Linked DNA regions of Arabidopsis thaliana. The protein of the gene in region 1 interacts with the protein of each later gene in a pairwise test. Each region holds a gene or a part of one and is shown in the gene's direction. Other genes may lie near its edges. The genes, in order: AT2G41450, AT1G22490, AT4G00270 and AT5G41030.

Evidence for each region.
Region 2: the proteins of AT2G41450 (region 1) and AT1G22490 interact in a two-hybrid assay, tested with the Arabidopsis thaliana proteins (one large-scale study listed by BioGRID).
Region 3: the proteins of AT2G41450 (region 1) and AT4G00270 interact in a two-hybrid assay, tested with the Arabidopsis thaliana proteins (one large-scale study listed by BioGRID).
Region 4: the proteins of AT2G41450 (region 1) and AT5G41030 interact in a two-hybrid assay, tested with the Arabidopsis thaliana proteins (one large-scale study listed by BioGRID).

Annotation. Positions count from the first base shown.
Region 1 is NC_003071.7:17,276,464-17,282,337, forward strand, and holds AT2G41450 (N-acetyltransferase), read left to right. Parts: upstream 1-1,684; 5' UTR 1,685-1,726; coding exon 1,727-1,775; intron 1,776-1,777; exon of another isoform or gene 1,778-1,861; coding exon 1,862-1,963; intron 1,964-2,168; coding exon 2,169-2,263; intron 2,264-2,369; coding exon 2,370-2,467; intron 2,468-2,641; coding exon 2,642-2,693; intron 2,694-2,897; coding exon 2,898-2,990; intron 2,991-3,236; coding exon 3,237-3,347; intron 3,348-3,481; coding exon 3,482-3,755; intron 3,756-3,874; coding exon 3,875-4,293; intron 4,294-4,372; coding exon 4,373-4,482; intron 4,483-4,580; coding exon 4,581-4,639; intron 4,640-4,718; coding exon 4,719-4,906; intron 4,907-4,985; coding exon 4,986-5,174; 3' UTR 5,175-5,367; downstream 5,368-5,874. Other genes in the region: AT2G41445 (agamous-like MADS-box protein), read left to right, coding at 39-89, 215-279, 379-421, 510-589, 696-867.
Region 2 is NC_003070.9:7,938,078-7,942,625, reverse strand, and holds AT1G22490 (basic helix-loop-helix (bHLH) DNA-binding superfamily protein), read left to right. Parts: upstream 1-2,000; 5' UTR 2,001-2,136; coding exon 2,137-2,574; intron 2,575-3,040; coding exon 3,041-3,583; 3' UTR 3,584-4,029; downstream 4,030-4,548.
Region 3 is NC_003075.7:116,564-120,189, reverse strand, and holds AT4G00270 (DNA-binding storekeeper protein-related transcriptional regulator), read left to right. Parts: upstream 1-1,546; 5' UTR 1,547-1,721; coding exon 1,722-1,955; intron 1,956-2,038; coding exon 2,039-2,713; 3' UTR 2,714-3,105; downstream 3,106-3,626. Other genes in the region: MEE45 (Transcriptional factor B3 family protein), read right to left, coding at 3,139-3,438, 3,483-3,626. UniProt on the Arabidopsis thaliana protein: DNA-binding protein, which specifically recognizes the GL1 enhancer sequence. May be involved in leaf initiation. May play redundant roles with GPL1 and GPL2 in cytokinin responses by regulating the transcript levels of type-A ARR response genes.
Region 4 is NC_003076.8:16,427,054-16,430,181, forward strand, and holds AT5G41030 (TCP family transcription factor), read left to right. Parts: upstream 1-1,652; coding exon 1,653-2,384; 3' UTR 2,385-2,626; downstream 2,627-3,128. Other genes in the region: AT5G41020 (myb family transcription factor), read right to left, coding at 1-596; AT5G41025 (uncharacterized protein), read left to right, coding at 137-382.

The DNA of each region.
Region 1 (5,874 bases):
ACCACCTTTTTTTTTATTTATTTTTTAAACTGTTACAGAAGAAGATAGAGCAGCTGCTTAAAGAAGATGATGGGTGGATGCTTATACGGGTAAACATTTCCTAGGCACTTCATCTGCCCTATGAAATTATTGTTTGTGAATCTGCTAGGAGCTGCTGTTCATGTTGATTCTTGTAATATCTTCCATGTTTGAAGCTTTCTTACATTTTTTGTAGAGGAAGGACGCAGAGGATGGTATGGGGAGAGAGGTTTCTGTTCCCTGCAAATTCTCTACCAGCAGGTTGTCTCCTCCTTCCTAGCTTAAGTAGGAATTTTTGGTTCTAAGTTGTAGTTGTCTGGTGCCCCATTAAAGCCTGATTTGGTCTTGGTATATCTACAGCACGGGTGAGAGACAAGGTGATGAAGCACCAGCACCACCGCTGGTATGTATATTAATATTCTTTCACAGTCCTGCATGCCTCTCTCTTTACCCCACATTGTCTTGTTATACTTGTGCATCTTTTATTGCAGTCGCAACTGCAGCTACAATTCGAGAGACGAAATGCTGAACCCATGATGATCGAATACGGGAGATTATGGCTGTTGAAGGAGTAAATGCGTCGCCATCCCACTTGTTGCTCTCTACAGAGTCGATGTCAGTTTCACTTTGTTTCTGATGGTTTGTTTCTTTTTCCTTCTTTTCGTGAAAACTGACAGGAGAATGAACGGTAGACAGCTCGACGGTATGAACAATGCCGAGCTGGCCTTACTTCAAGCTAAGATAGTACATGGATTGCAGGAGTTGCACGAGCATATGTATGCACCAACAATGGAAAAAATCGCTAAGAAGCGCAGATATCTGTTAAGAGAGGTTCCCGGCCGGAGCTGAGCGCGAGGGACGATGAAAGCTCAGAAGGCCACACCCGGCCATCAAATCTTTCTATGAGACTCTTAAGTGACTTCTGGTTTCTCTATTTCTATTTTAGTTTATCGTCAATCCTGACTTTCCTCATGTCGGGCCTCTCTTAGTTGATTTTAATATGTCTTAAGTAAATTTACTAATCTATTATCATAGTCGTGGCATGTTACAGATTTCTGTTATATCATTTTTTTGCTTCATACTTAGAACTTTCCGACCTCTTCTATCAACATCACCTTGATCCTCAAAATTAGGCGTGGGCGTTCGGGATCGGTTCTTTTTTTTCGGGTATCGGGTCTATTCGGATAGGAGGTTGAGAACTATTCGGGTATTCTAAAAATTTGGTTCAGATTCGGGTCGGTTTAGTTATTTTAGTAAAAATATAAAAATAACCAAAAATATCCAAAATATTTTCGGGTTTGGGTCGGATTCGGGATTTTTTACTCACATATACTTAAATCTACCCAAAATACCCGATTATCAGTAAATATATTGGTTACTTTTTATCCAAATGTAACCAAAATACTTAAATTACCTAAAAAAACCTATAACATTCGGGTTTTTTCGTTTGATGCGAAAAGTCTCGTCTTGACTCTTGAAGATTTGGTTTTTTGACTCCACAAGTCGTCGATTTGACATTCGAACAAATGATTAGTCAGACGATCAGAAACGCTCCAAAACGCAGCGCTTTGGCTAGAACAGAGCTTTAAGACACCTATGTTAATACGAAAATACCCTCTGATAAACTTATTTATACACTCGACGTTTCGTTTTTTTTTCCAGTTTTCTGAAAAGTAAATTATTTGAAATCCCGCTCTGAATTTTTACAATGGCGCCAAAGAGAGCATCGCCGATGCAGTCTTCTCTGTACTCTATCGGTAAGAACTCGGAAAGCCCTTGATTTTATTCAGAATACTCCGATCAATCAAATGAATCTTCGTGTGTTTTGATTCGATTTCTCCAGGTGATTACGAGGTTGCAGTGGATGGTAAGAATTTCACCTGTGAATCTGGACCCAAAAGCATTCAAATTAAATTTCCCAGAAACTACAGAGTAAAAATCTCAGGTTCGTCTAGAATTTGGATTCTTGCGGTTTTGTTTTTTTTCCACTCTAATTTGATTGTTAGTCATTTTGGGCTCTATGATTTGATTATCTAATTCAATTTCATCTATTGATGTTATGCGGCTACTAGCAAAATGTGTAACAAACGTTCAAGTTGTCAACTTTTCTGCATAATATCTTACTTAGTTTCTTGTTTGGTTTTGTTTAGAGAAGGATAAAATCGTTTCTGATTATCCGAAAGAAGACATGTTTCTTCTTCTTAATCCTCGGGATGAAGATGATTTTACCAAATCTCATCTCCAAGTAAGTGGAATCTTACCAAAGCACTTAAAAATTGGTTTCTTTTGAGAAAAAGGCATTACTTTAGGGAATCTATTGCTCATAAGTACTATTAACTTAACTCATTCAGGAAGTTTTGAAGTTATATAGCAAAGAGTTACCTGACATGAGATATGCTTCAAACACTGGGAAGCAATCTGCATTTCTTGAGAGATGTGTCTCTAAAGGGTAAAAATCGTCTCTTTATCATAACCTTTCTTTATGTTTCAAGCTGGACTTTTAAGTATAGAGACTTCTTTTGGCCGTTTGTCACTAATAAAAACATTGAGAACGGAACCCATTTTTGATATGAATGGAAGAGTTATCTAATGCTGTATTTATTTGAATTGCATTATCTTGCAGAAAGTATTGTTCATTGGTTTTGAAGTCCACGCTTGGTGGAGACTCAGATGAGGTAATTAATAAGCTTTGGTTTAGTAAGTTCTTGATCAAAAGCAGCCTAGGCCTTGGAAGAATCTTGAAGAGACGTATTATTCTAACCAGCATGCTGTTTTGTTCCAATAGGAAGAATCTGTTTTATTCAATCTGCCAATGAATCGTATTTTAGATTGTCTGCTTTACCACATCTGAATTGATTATTTGGCGTGTGCTTTTGTAGATCTTAGCTGCAATCACTTATCAAATAGTCCCTGCTGATACACAGTATGCTGAGATACCTCTTGCTGCTGTAACATATACACACCAGAAAAAGGTTCGTTTTGCTCTGACTCTTTTGACACTTACTGTTGTAATAGCTTTTTTTGTGCAACGCTTTTACTAAAGGTCTTGTGTTTAATAGTTCATGTCTATAAGTTTATGTATTAGATATTGCATACTTGGTTTTAAGTGCTTCTTAGAACTGTAAACTTTTTCTTTCTGCAACTGGTTTTACTAAAAATAGCGTGCTAGAAACCTCATCAAAAACTAAATAGATGAGTTTCTTTTAATACATTTTCAGGGATTTGGTAAGCTCGTCTATGAAGAATTAATGAAGAGGCTTCATAGTGTTGGCATTCGAACTATATATTGTTGGGCAGACAAAGAATCTGAAGGATTCTGGCTTAAACAGGTGATATTATCACTTTATCACTATGTTTATGGTTGTTGGTGTTTTATCTTTATTAGTTTGTTGGATTCAAACTAAACTATCTTTTTTAAGTGCTTTGACTGTTTGGTTTCTTATATTACTTTACGAATTTTCAGGGGTTTATAAAATTAGCAGAGGTAGACCACAAAGGAAAAGCAAAGGGGTTGCACATTAAGTCTAATATTCGAAAAGCCTTGTGTTTTCCTGGCGGTTCAACTCTCATGCTTTCTCATCTGAACAAGGAATTTATTTCAAACCTTGAGATTTCCTCTTCATGGAAATATCAGTGTGAGGGATCTCCACTCTCGGCAAGAAATAATAGCACAGGTCCTGTGACTGGAGATTCAGTTAAACTGAGAGAGAGCTTTGGTGAAAGCGTATATCTTGACTGTAAGTTTAAAACTATTTCTTTCGTCAAATAGCCTAAGAGAATGTCTCTGAAGAAGATACCACATCATGAAGCATTTGAATATGTCTCTGAAGTTTCTGTTATAATGTGCCGTACACAGGTATCTCTGGTATCAGAAGTCCAATGGACTCGATCACAGGAAAGGAAAACAACAACGTGATCTCTGATCAAGCTACCACAGCTGACAGTGAGACCAAATGTTCAACACCAGGCTTAAAGAGATCTTGGGAAGCTTCATTGTCCTCTCTACAATCTAAAAGGATTCGGGCAAACAACAATAATAACTCTGAGATAGCAAAAACAGATTTGGCTCAGAGCTCTGCAAAGCAATCGAAAGATGGTAATTCCTCCCAAGTAGATATAACCAAGGATTCCCTGCCCACAATCTGCAAAAGAAACGACGTTGAACAATGTAGAATGGCAACTGGGATAGACATGGAAGCTCGTCCAAATGGACAACACTATAGAATCTTGTTGATGGACATTTGTGATGAAAACAAGAGAGCTTGGTTAACAGAGGTATATAAATCTTTCTGAGTTATTTGTTCCTTAAATGGGTTTTGTATCCACCTTACGTTGTCTTCTGATTTCTATGCAGGTAATAAGAAAACTTGGTGGTACTGTGACCTTGGATGGCACAACGAGCACGCATATTGTCACCGGAAAAGTCAGGAAAACTCTGAATCTCTGCACTGCTCTTTGCTCTGGGTTAGTCTCAAATATACAGGCATCATATTAGCCATTGTGAACTTATGCGTAAAATCATAGGAATGACGCGGTTTATGGTCCATCATACTTGCTTGCAGGGCGTGGATAGTATCACCAAGTTGGTTAAAAGAAAGTGTCCGAGAAGGAAGATTTGCTAGTAAGATGAGATATAATTATCTATCTCTGATGGGTACTTACTAATGAATTATAATGCTGACACTATTTTTGTTTAATAGATGAAGCTTCACACATACTGCATGACGAAGACTACCAGTTGAAATATGATACTGATCTAAAAAGCACAGTTCTTAGAGCAAAAGCTAGACCAAACTCGTTGCTAAAAGGATATGACATATGCGTTGGACCTAACATTGAACTGCCTATCAAAACTTCATCTGCTATCATCAAATCTGCTGGTGGAAATGTAAGTATTAGTTAACAACTTGTTTCAAGTGTTTCACATTTGAATCCAAAACATTGTAATATTCATGTGTTATCTGCAGGTGATAAGTGGAGTGAATAAGGTAAAGGAGGCGTCAAAAGCGATATACATAGGGTGCGAAGAAGACACAGTAGGGGCATTATTTGCAGCAAAGAAAGGAATTTGGACATTCAGCAGCGAATGGTTCATGAACTGTGTCATGAAGCAACAACTTGATCTTCAAGTTCCTCAGTTTGTTGAGTCCTTATGATGATGACTCGAACTCGAAACCTCCTATGATCTTTAGCTTGGAAAATCTCACTTATTATCTTTTTATGTTTAGAGACATTGTCGGAAGTTGAATGGATAGGCTAAGAAGCAAACTCAAGTCGCCGGTCTATTTATGTATAAAAATAAAAATGTGTTACTTGAAGGTTGGTTTAAGTTACATTTAAAAGTTTGAGATAATTTTGAAATATGAAAGGAAACTGAGGGTTAAATCGCAAAAAGGTAAAGAACTGAGGGATATTTTCGCAAACATTTAGAACAATGAATGAATAAGCGTAGGAGTTTCAAACTCAGCCCAATACACATCTCAGTAATGGGCCGACTAAAACTCAGCCCAATACACATCTTTACCCTCACCAGGGCAAAGCTAAAACATTTCGGATTGCTCTCTCGCTTGCACATGGATCCGTTCGTGTTTCGTGCCATTTCCACCATTATCGCTCCTTAAAAACCTTTTTCCAGCTAATTCTCTTTGTTAATCGTAGCTTTTTTGCTTCATCTGTCTCTTTCTGCTTTTGAGCTAGAATTTGTTGGGATCTGTGTTAGAGATTACAATTCTAATGTTCTAAATCGCAAAATGGATTCCCAAATGTTTTTTGAAATCGACAACACTTGAATCAGAAAGAAATCAATTCTAATGTTCTAAATAACATTGTTTTTTTGAAATCACCAAATGTTTGTTG
Region 2 (4,548 bases), on another chromosome or scaffold:
ACAAATAACATTAGGTACACGTATTCAAAGGAGACAAGATTACTATAGCTTAAATTCAATTTGAAGTGCATACAACAAGATTCTTTGTATCATCATGAAAAGTTTGTCCTGCAGTTTTATGTTCACATATTATTTATTTTTTCGGCAAATTGGTTCAGATTTTAAGATTCCAAGTGTCCGACCAAATTTGATTACAAAACGCAGCCTAGTCACATCTATCTAATTCTTTAAATTTTGTTTTCATATCAAAATTGATTTCTACTATTATATATTCCCAGAGTGATTAGATCAGAATAATCAAAAGATGCCACCTAATTTATATACATAACTTTTTTGGTTTTTGATGTTGAAAAGTAGTGACAAAAGATTTTTAATAGACCATCATTTTATAACATGCAAGTAAATATCTCGATTTAAATATATTTTTAATAACATCACGAAACAAATTTGTTAAAACCTGACATAAAGTGATCCCCACCGGCCAAAATAAATCTTCTATTGGTTGTGTATTTTCTGACAAACATTTGTTTTAAAGATTTTTAATTTTAATCGGATACTTAACCATATATTTGATATGGAAATACATTATATTTTTGTTTAAAGTAAAATAATAGAACATGAGTGTAACTAGACGACCCCCAACCTGCAAACAGATTATTTGGTCTTGTGGACTGGTCTACTACTATCTCACGTGCAAACTTGACGCTGCAATGTATACATTTATCTATATGCATCTATGTATCTAAATAGTAATTAGTAACCATAGATAATGGATCTAATTCCACGAAGTTGGATAGATATTCTAAGGTAATATCTGGTAGAATTTTAATTTTCAAACCAAAAAAATTGTTACCAGATGTGAATGCGTAGAACTAAAAATTAATTGGCGTAGACCGTCCTAACTGGAAACTCAAATAACTTTGTTTACAAGTAGCATGTAACTGTATATATATAATGCTTTAGAATTTTTATGGTCCAATTGAAAATTTCACATTTTCGTTTTATTGTATCACTCACTTGTCCGACTGACGTAGAATTGCACGTCTTAATTTTTTTTTGGCGAAAACGCTAATCCGCAACAAAAAAATTTGTTAAAGTAGTCCGTAACTTTTTTTTTGGTTAAAGTAATCCGCAACATGACATATTAGTACTAACGAACTATTGTTTTTTCTATTAATTTTTTGCTATATTTAGAATTTTAAGTAGTTTAGCCATCACCATCTGTGTATCCTTACACTATACATATTCGGAAAAACTCGAAAGAGGTTTTAACTGGTTATGATCACCACCAGCAGTCCAGCACCAGTTTTCTTTCACTCGAACGTCAATATAAATTCACTGCCCACTATATCAGCTTTACCATTTCTTAATAAATTATTTATTATTTATTTGATTTTGAACTAAGAAAGATTATGGGTTTTTAGGAATAGTTCCAAACAATTAACATCTTAATAATAAAATTACTATATAATAAAACTAATTTATATTAAAAACATTATGAACAATTTTTTTCTTTATTTTCTTAACCTCTAATTATTATGAACAAGTTATTTAAATACAATTGGGATGATTATTACAAGTGCACTTTATATCTCCTTTTCAGTGTTTTTTATATATATATTGGTGACAAATACATCTTTTCTTTAGTTTTATTTTTCTTTTCGTTTTTGATCTCTGCGGGAGCATTTATTTTTGGTCAACTGTGAGAGCATCAAAAAAAAAAAAAAAAAAATTAATAGCCTCACAAAGCTTCTCTCAATTCCCTTTTTAAATAAATCACACCACTTTGTTTGATCCTCATATTTCGGTTTTCACTCTCATATCTTTCTTTTGTATATTTATTTTTGTTGAAGATTCACTCTCCTATTCTTCCTCCATGCCGGTGAGTTCTTGAGAATTTAATATTTTGTAAATCAATTTACAAAAAATCTTCATATAACTAATACCATGCTTAGTTTCCTTTAGTGGGCTTAACCCTTTTGCCTTTATTTCCCCCTCGAGACAAAAAGGAGAGCGACAAACACTTCCTGTCTAAATTTTGTTTTCTCTCCTTCTCTCTCCCTCTCTCGGTTTCTCAATCTTTCTTATTTTTTCCATAATTCTGAATTTTTCTTTTCAACAATCTCCGGCTAAAAAATGCCCTTAGAGGCTGTCGTATACCCGCAAGATCCATTCGGATATCTCTCCAATTGCAAAGATTTTATGTTCCACGACTTATACTCTCAAGAAGAGTTCGTAGCTCAAGATACGAAGAACAACATTGATAAGTTAGGGCATGAACAGAGCTTTGTGGAACAAGGTAAGGAGGACGATCATCAATGGCGAGACTATCATCAGTATCCTTTGTTGATCCCTTCGTTGGGAGAAGAGCTTGGTCTTACCGCCATTGATGTGGAGAGTCATCCTCCTCCACAGCACCGGAGGAAGAGGAGGAGAACGAGAAACTGCAAGAACAAGGAAGAGATCGAGAACCAGAGAATGACTCACATCGCCGTCGAGAGAAATCGCCGGAAACAGATGAACGAGTATCTGGCTGTGCTCCGTTCTCTAATGCCGTCGTCGTATGCTCAAAGAGTAACTTACTAATTCAATGTTTATATATGCTATATATCATTTGGTCAGGGTCATTCTTAGGTATATGTGTCTTTGTTTTATTACTTGCTTGGCTGTAGTACTCATTTCTCCATAATATATTAACACAAAAGAATAGAATGAAAATGACTGAGAATATATATTGATGTTTTTATACAATATATTAACAAGAAAATCCACCGTAAATATGGAAGGGTGACGCGTTTATATACATACTAATAATCTTTGCTGTTACATATTTTAATGTATTTTTTAAAATAAAATATTATGTGTCACCAAAAATTAGAACGAGTATGATTGAGAATATTGGGATATGTTTTAGAACAATTTCGTAATAAACTTAAGCAATTAGCAATGATACGTGTGTGTGTATATTTATACATTCAAAGATTTTTTCAATCTTTATGATAACTATATGATCTGACATGAGCGGGTTTTGGTGGTAAAGGGAGATCAAGCGTCGATAGTAGGAGGAGCTATAAACTACGTGAAGGAGTTAGAGCATATTTTACAATCTATGGAGCCGAAGAGAACTAGGACTCATGATCCCAAAGGAGACAAGACTAGCACTAGCTCGTTAGTGGGTCCATTCACAGATTTTTTCAGCTTCCCACAATATTCTACAAAGTCATCATCAGATGTACCGGAAAGCTCATCTTCACCGGCGGAGATAGAGGTTACGGTGGCAGAAAGCCATGCGAACATCAAGATAATGACGAAGAAGAAACCGAGGCAGCTTCTTAAGCTCATAACTTCTTTACAAAGCCTAAGGCTCACTCTTCTTCATCTCAATGTCACCACTCTCCACAACTCCATTCTCTACTCCATCAGCGTCAGGGTACGTACATTTTCAACTTCTCATCATTACTTTGTTTGCTTTTGGGGTAATCATGAGATTAAAGTGAGTAATGACTGTGTGTGTGGTGCATATGGTTTCACTTTGTTGATTTATTTTTTTGTCTCTTATTGTTGGGGGGAAATTTTGGATTAGTACTATTGTGGTTATGCCTGGGCTTTAAAAAGGTTGTGAAGAAAAATTAAAATCATTCTCTTTGTTTTTTTCTTACCTCCTTTGGGTACTTAGGGCTGGGGCCTCAATAGTTGTGGGTCAAACTCATAATCATCATTTTGATTATTATTTTTGTCAATAATAAATTGCGTATCTTAATCGTGCCTGTAAGAATCAGGGGACCAACCTAAAGAAACGAAACACGAATATGTGTCTATCTATATCCACGAATTGTATACGTGGTGTTGTGTATTTATATATGTTTATGTATATGTTTATGTACTGTGGATATATGTTCGGTGGTCACATAATTGTAGATGAGATATGTACGGACAACGAAGTGAGTCCACCATTTGTTTCAGGAGATATTTAGCAAATAGAAAGATATTTTGTTATAGTTATCTACATCCTTCTAATTTTGTTTGTTGCAACTTTTTTCAAGAATTGTTATGTATATCTTTATTTCTTAAGAGAAAATGTGTTGGTTCAGGTTGAAGAAGGAAGCCAACTGAATACCGTGGACGACATTGCAACAGCTTTGAATCAAACCATAAGGAGGATTCAAGAAGAGACATAATTCAGCAAATAGATTATAATTAACTTGTTTTATTTTTATTTTATTTTGAAATAACTGAAATCAGTTTTCTAATTTTTTTTTTTTTTCACTATTCCTCTAATCCTCCCTATGTAAGTTGCATTTTTGTCTCTTGTAATGAATCAATGGTCATAAAGATCTGAACAAAAAAATTGAATAAAAGAAAATGGTTTAAGTCGATAAGTATGTGACATTGGGCGCTAATAGCCGTTAGGCCTACGCCTAATGTACTTCTCAGTGTTTTTAGGGTTGTGTTTAGTGTATAATTATAATGATTAATAGTATGATTGATTAATTTTTGAATTTATTTTCTTCAAAGATGAATTCGTCTTTTTCTAGAACTTTTAAAGTT
Region 3 (3,626 bases), on another chromosome or scaffold:
GATACACTGATTTTAAATAATAAAATATGAAATAAAAATACATAAATGATGTATTGGTAACATAAGCACTACATGCACATGTCAACTGATTTTAAATAACAAAAATGTTATGTTAAAACAAAAATAAAAATACATGAATGATGTCTTGGTAAGAGAAGGACTGCATGCATAGATCAACTGTTTTTAAATAACAGAAATCTTAACTCTAAATATTAAAACAAAAAGGAAAATACAGAAATAATGTCTTGATAATAGGAGCACTATATGCAAAGGTAAACATGTATTTTTTCTGCTTCCCTCCCATTCAAAGCCTTAATCAATGAAGTTTTGGCTAAAAGAATGATCTTTGACCGATGGAGTATTGTGTCGCTTGATGTGATCTTTTTACATTAGAATTGTGGTCATTTGTCTCAGGGAAAAGAGGAGCTATACAATATAACAAGAGGTCCTTCTTGAGGTGGTGAAGATCATAAAGAAGCACGGTTACGTTCCTTTTGTAATATTCCTTGGATCTCGAAATCGAGTACAAGTTCCTATCATGCTAATGGCGGAGATGGATGAAGGCATTTTACATTGTAATCTGTTCATTTAATTTGGATTGCTTTCATTGTTTCATTTGTTTGACATACATAGACACTAATAGTTGAGGATTATGTATTTACAACAATAAAGTGTTCCACTACACAAGGTACAATCGATATATATATAGTGTTAACTCTCATTTGTGTATATATGCATATCAGTTTGTAGGTGTTACTATGATAGTAGTACATTTATTAATTTATAAAAATTTATACGTAAAATACAATATTAATTTTTTAAAAAGAAAAATTTTAATTTAGTTTTTCTTTATGTTTTATTGTTTGTATATTCTGTTAGATTTTTTTTTATTACTTTTTTTATTTTTTCTCTGTAAGATATTGTGCATGTATACGACGTTAACGTGAGACTTAATCCAATTTTTTATTACACAAATCTTAACAATGATTTTTCATATAAAAAAAGTTACAAAACCAAATATGACGGATCAAATACGCAAAGAGTTATGTGAATACAAAAGAGATCACACCAACTATACTCTAGAAAGAGTTGCAATTATGACTTGAACAAAAGTTTCATATAAAATTAGTCTTTGAATGTATGCTAAAGATTTATGATTATTAATTTTATGATATTACTGGTACCATATTTTTACATAGGGATTTCAAAAAAAATATTATCTTATTATCTTATCGATTTTGGTTAATTTTTACATTACCCCGATTTGAGACCGACAAAATTTATTAATTTATCGTGTAATATGTTTTGTTCAAATACCTTTTAATATCTATTTAATAATAAAAAAATATTCAATCAGAAATGGATAATATATAATATAATTATTTACTTAAAATATATCAGCAATGAATCTTAAAATGTAGAAAAAACTAAATTTTAATTTATTATATAAAAAAGGTAGATAAAATATTTTATACTATTAAGTGACTAAAATGATAGATTTTTGCAAGAGCAAAATTGTACTATTGATGAATATTAAACAGTAGAAAAAAAGATGAAAGTGTTTGTTTTGTTATGAATGTTGAGAAAAGTATGGCCAAGTGTTACTCATCCTATTTTGCTTTTCTTTTTCTCTCGGGTTTCACTTTTTAAAGGTCGTGAAGATTGGGAATCACTGCTCTGCATGCGCCCTAGAATCAGCAAGTCTAAAGCAAGCAATAAGCATGGTGACTCCGAAGCAGATCGATTTCTCTTCCTGTGTTGGTGCTGATAACTCCAACGGTACCCTCTCCCATCGAAGATCTCCACGGAATATTCCTTCCTCAAAGCGTGCTGCTTCCGTCGCAGAAGAAGAGACTATGAAGAAGAAGATGAAGATGAAGAAGAAGAAGAAGAAATTGGATCCGCCGTTGATCGTCCGGATCTGGAACGAGGAAGATGAGCTCTCTATCTTAAAGGTATTGTATTGATCTTCTCCATTTATAGTTTGATTTGGTTTTGCATTGTGATTTTCTAAAACCAGATTTTCGAAATTGCTCAGGGGTTAGTTGATTACAGAGCTAAGACAGGATTCAATCCCAAAATTGATTGGGATGCGTTTTGTAGTTTCCTCGGAAGTTCTATCGTTGAGAGATTCTCCAAGGATCAGGTTTTGAGTAAAATCAGGAAGTTGAAAAGGAGGTTTCATGTTCACTCGGAGAAAATCAATCAAGGGAATGATCCCAAATTTACTAGGTCTAGTGATTCTGAAGCCTTTGGGTTTTCTTCGATGATTTGGGGACAAGGTGATGATGATGGTATGGATAAGGAGCACGAGGTAAACGGAAATGGTGCAGCGGAAAACCGGACTAACGAGAGCGGGGAGGAGATGTTGAAGGAGCACGAGGAGGAAGTGGCTAATACTGAACTTTTAAATGAGAATGGGGCAGCCAAAACAACAGAGAATGGGACTAGTAGTGGAAAAGAGAGACATGATGAGGACAATGATGATGATGATGAGTTATGCGCGGTGCAGGATGCATTTGAGGCGGTGATGTCGCAAGGTTTAAGTGGTTATCAAAAGAAGTTGCAGCTTGAGAAGCTGATGAACCTTGGAAATGGTAAAAGAAGAGAGTTGAGTGATGAATGGAAAGCGTTATGTGTTGAGGAAACAAGATTCAATATCAAGAAGCTTAGATTTTCCGCCAAGCTTGCAGAGGCAGCTAATGATAGTTAGATGAAACCAATATGCCCTTGTAGCATTTGGTGTTGTTTAGGTTCTTAGTAAGTCATAAGCTCTAGTCTGTTCAGTGTATTTATCTTTGGATCCTGTCTTTCTTCTACTTGGGCAAGTGTTTGTAAGATATTCCACTTTTTACTCAAGTATCCACAAGAGCCAATGTAGTAGAGTGGCTTGTGCAAGAGTCTAGAGTCTAGGGTTAATAATGTGCTTTAAGGCATGCTTGTGTGTGTGCCTAAGAGTGTAGTGAAGTAGTATAAGTAAGAGTGTGTGTGTGTCTTGTAATATTATCCAAGATATTAACAATGTAGAAGATTAAAAGAAAAATGGTTTTTGTTCTTACTCTCTAAGACAATGAAACCTTAAGAGTTATATCTTACCAAATAAAAGAGTCAAACATTGATTCATTTCAATATAGAGTTTCATTTGATTTCTAGCTTCACCTTGGAGCAGAACTTAAGGACGCAACTTGTTTCTTCTTCCCAAATCAGTTCCAACATGATGGATTCGTTTGCCTTCACATCGTTAGCTTGGATGAATCCTTGCCATCCTCCTACCATTCGTAGTCTTTTTCTTTTGTCGTCCTCGAACCGCAGAGTCGTTAACCACTTCACACCATGTTTATCCAACAGAGTCATTTTAGTTTCTTCATTGATACCATTCATCCTCGTGAAAGGAACCGGAAGACGCTGAAACATAGATTCACACAAAAGATTCTCATTCTATAGACTGTTAAAAGACAATGGCTTGGAATGATGAAACGTACCAGTAGAGAACTTTGGATTGTATAAGGTGTTAGAGTTAATGTCACAAATCGGTTTTCGGATAGTAAAGACTTTCTTCTTGAGATTTTCTCGTCGTGGATACTCTCTTCATCGCTTTCTTGCTCTGTCGAAAGAGAGACTACTTC
Region 4 (3,128 bases), on another chromosome or scaffold:
ACATCTGAATCCACACTTGGTTTCTTCTTGTTGTTCTTCCTCTTCACCTCCTTGTCTATGTTTTCTTCAGCTCCCAAATCAGTATCATCCCGCTTTCTTTTTCCCTTTTTCTTATCAGATACTTTGGAGCTTTCAGTATTTTCTATCACATCACCACCAGATTCTTTCTTGCTCTTCTTCTTCTTCCTCTTCACACCATCATGAGCTTCAGAATCAACCTTTGTCTCCTTACTTTTCTCCTTGGATTTCTTCTCCACACCATCATCCTCAGCTTCGGAATCAGCCTTTGTCTCCTTACTTCTCTTTTTCGATTTCTTCTTCACAGCATCAACAGCTTCAGAATCAATCCTTATTGGCTTCTTCGACTTCTTCTTCTTCTTAACTATAAAAACCTCATCACCTAGTTTCTCACTTTCACGCCCAGTTATCTCCATATCTTCTCCAGTAAAACCATCCTTATTCTCTCGCTTATTCTTCTTCCTCTTCTTTTCCTTATCCTTCATAGAACTGTGCTCGGAAATGAATTCTTCACCGGTTTCTTCAGAATCAACCTTAGCGTCACTCTTTTTCTTCTTATTCTTCTTCTCCTCAGCCATCTCATATACCGGCGGACACGGTTACGAAACCCTAATCACAAAAACCGCCGCGACTTTCGCTCAAATCTAAATCCGAATTTCGATTGAGTGATTTTAAGACACAGCGATGCTGAGATTGATTGTGAAGGAGCTTTTGGATACGGCGGCTTCCTTCATGAATTTGAGATGATTAGGGTATTTAATTACTTTTGTTAAAAAAAATTCCTTTGAACTTGGGTCTTCAATGACCCACTACCCATATTTGGGGCTTGAGTACTACTAGGCCCAACGTATTGCTCTTGACGTTATCAAGTTTTAACAAGAGTTTGATCTAATTTCTATCACTTATGTTACAACTTACAAAGTTGGTGGTTATATTGTGAAATTTCTAAATGATTTGGAAGAAAAAGAAATCAAATAATTACTACTAGAATAAATCAGTATATAAGAGACCTTGGGAAAAGTATTTAAAAATGTAGAATCTTCTTGGATTAACTTCAATGTTTTGTGTGGTGGAGTTTGGATCTTACATGATCATTTGGGACAAAGCTAGTTTTCATCAAAGGGATGCAATTGAAGAACATACTAAACATATATAATCGAAAACTGATATAAAAAAACATAAACACAAAGGTTTGTTTTGAGTTTTGACCTTATTATCAAGTGATGAAAGAATGTAAAACTTAGTTTTTAATGATGTTGATAACCTCTTTTGATTTAAATAAATTCTTTTTAATGTGTGATTTATGCTCAAAACTAAATTTTTCTAATGTTTTCATATTATTTAATTTTGCCCTTGTTAACTCTCATGGATGTTGCCATGTTGATTTGATTGAGCTTTGGATTGGAATTTTTTTTTTTATTTTTTTTTTTTTTTTTTTTTCTTTGGATTGGAATTCATTCGGTAAGTAAGAATATTTCGTGATTATAGAACTTCTAATTATGTAAAAAAAATAAAATAATGCGTGAAAATAATAAAAAGTTGTTACCCTTTTTTTTTACTTAGGTCAAGAGGTCACAACACACGCCCCACCTTGAATCTGAGAGAGAGAGAGAAGTACGTCCCCACACCTTGACATGGTCATGGAGCCCAAGAAGAACCAAAATCTACCAAGTTTCTTAAACCCATCACGACAGAATCAGGACAACGACAAGAAGAGGAAACAAACAGAGGTTAAAGGTTTCGACATTGTGGTCGGCGAAAAGAGGAAGAAGAAGGAGAATGAAGAGGAAGACCAAGAAATTCAGATTCTTTATGAGAAGGAGAAGAAGAAACCAAACAAAGATCGTCACCTTAAAGTTGAAGGAAGAGGTCGTAGAGTTAGGTTACCTCCACTCTGTGCAGCAAGGATTTATCAATTGACTAAAGAATTAGGTCACAAATCAGATGGTGAGACTCTTGAATGGTTGCTTCAACATGCTGAGCCATCGATACTCTCTGCTACTGTAAATGGTATCAAACCCACTGAGTCTGTTGTTTCTCAACCTCCTCTCACGGCTGATTTGATGATTTGTCATAGCGTTGAAGAAGCTTCAAGGACTCAAATGGAGGCAAATGGGTTGTGGAGAAATGAAACAGGACAGACCATTGGAGGGTTTGATCTGAATTACGGAATTGGGTTTGATTTCAATGGTGTTCCAGAGATTGGTTTTGGAGATAATCAAACGCCTGGACTTGAATTAAGGCTGTCTCAAGTTGGGGTTTTGAATCCACAGGTTTTTCAACAAATGGGTAAAGAACAGTTCAGGGTTCTTCATCATCATTCACATGAAGATCAGCAGCAGAGTGCAGAGGAAAATGGTTCATAAAGCTCAAACCTTTAAATGGCTTTTAATTAGATATATTTAGCGAGAATGTGATTGCTAGTGAAATCTCAAACTTGATAGCTTATTCATAGCTTATTTTACTTCGATCAGCAAGAGAACAATGGTTCCTAAAGCTCAAACCTTTTTTGGCGTTTGCTTTAGATTGTGCATACATAAAGTGAGAAGATGAAATATGGTTTTGCTGAAATCTCAATGTGCTCATTCATAGTTTATTTTGCTCGACCTTTCTTTAATCAATAGCTTTGATGTACTGATTACTTTATAAAGTTAAGAAGTAAGTTCTGCTCTTTAAACTGTACTGAATGGAGGCTTCTCTGCATAATTAAGCAAACACTCTGATGATTGAGTTTCGTTGTACAAAGGAAAGTTTTTGCCTTAGTTAGAAATTCATCTTGTTTCTTTGCCCAGAAGCTGGCTTGCTGATAGAATTTGGACTACGCTACGTTTTCTTGGGTGAAAAACAATCCGCGTCCTTCCACGAGAACAGTGAAACTGTACGATGTTCTTATTGTATTGTGTCAACAGCCCATAATCAATGAAATGGGCCTCAATGACAGTATAAGCCGAAAAATATTCGAATGCGATCTAGAACTAATCTGAAACCAAACTTCTCAAATCATTAACATTTGATTAGGGCCTAAAAGTCCATCCGTATTTTAAAAAAAAGTTGATAACAAATGCAAAAATACAAATATACATTACTATTAAAACTCAATCTTTCTGATT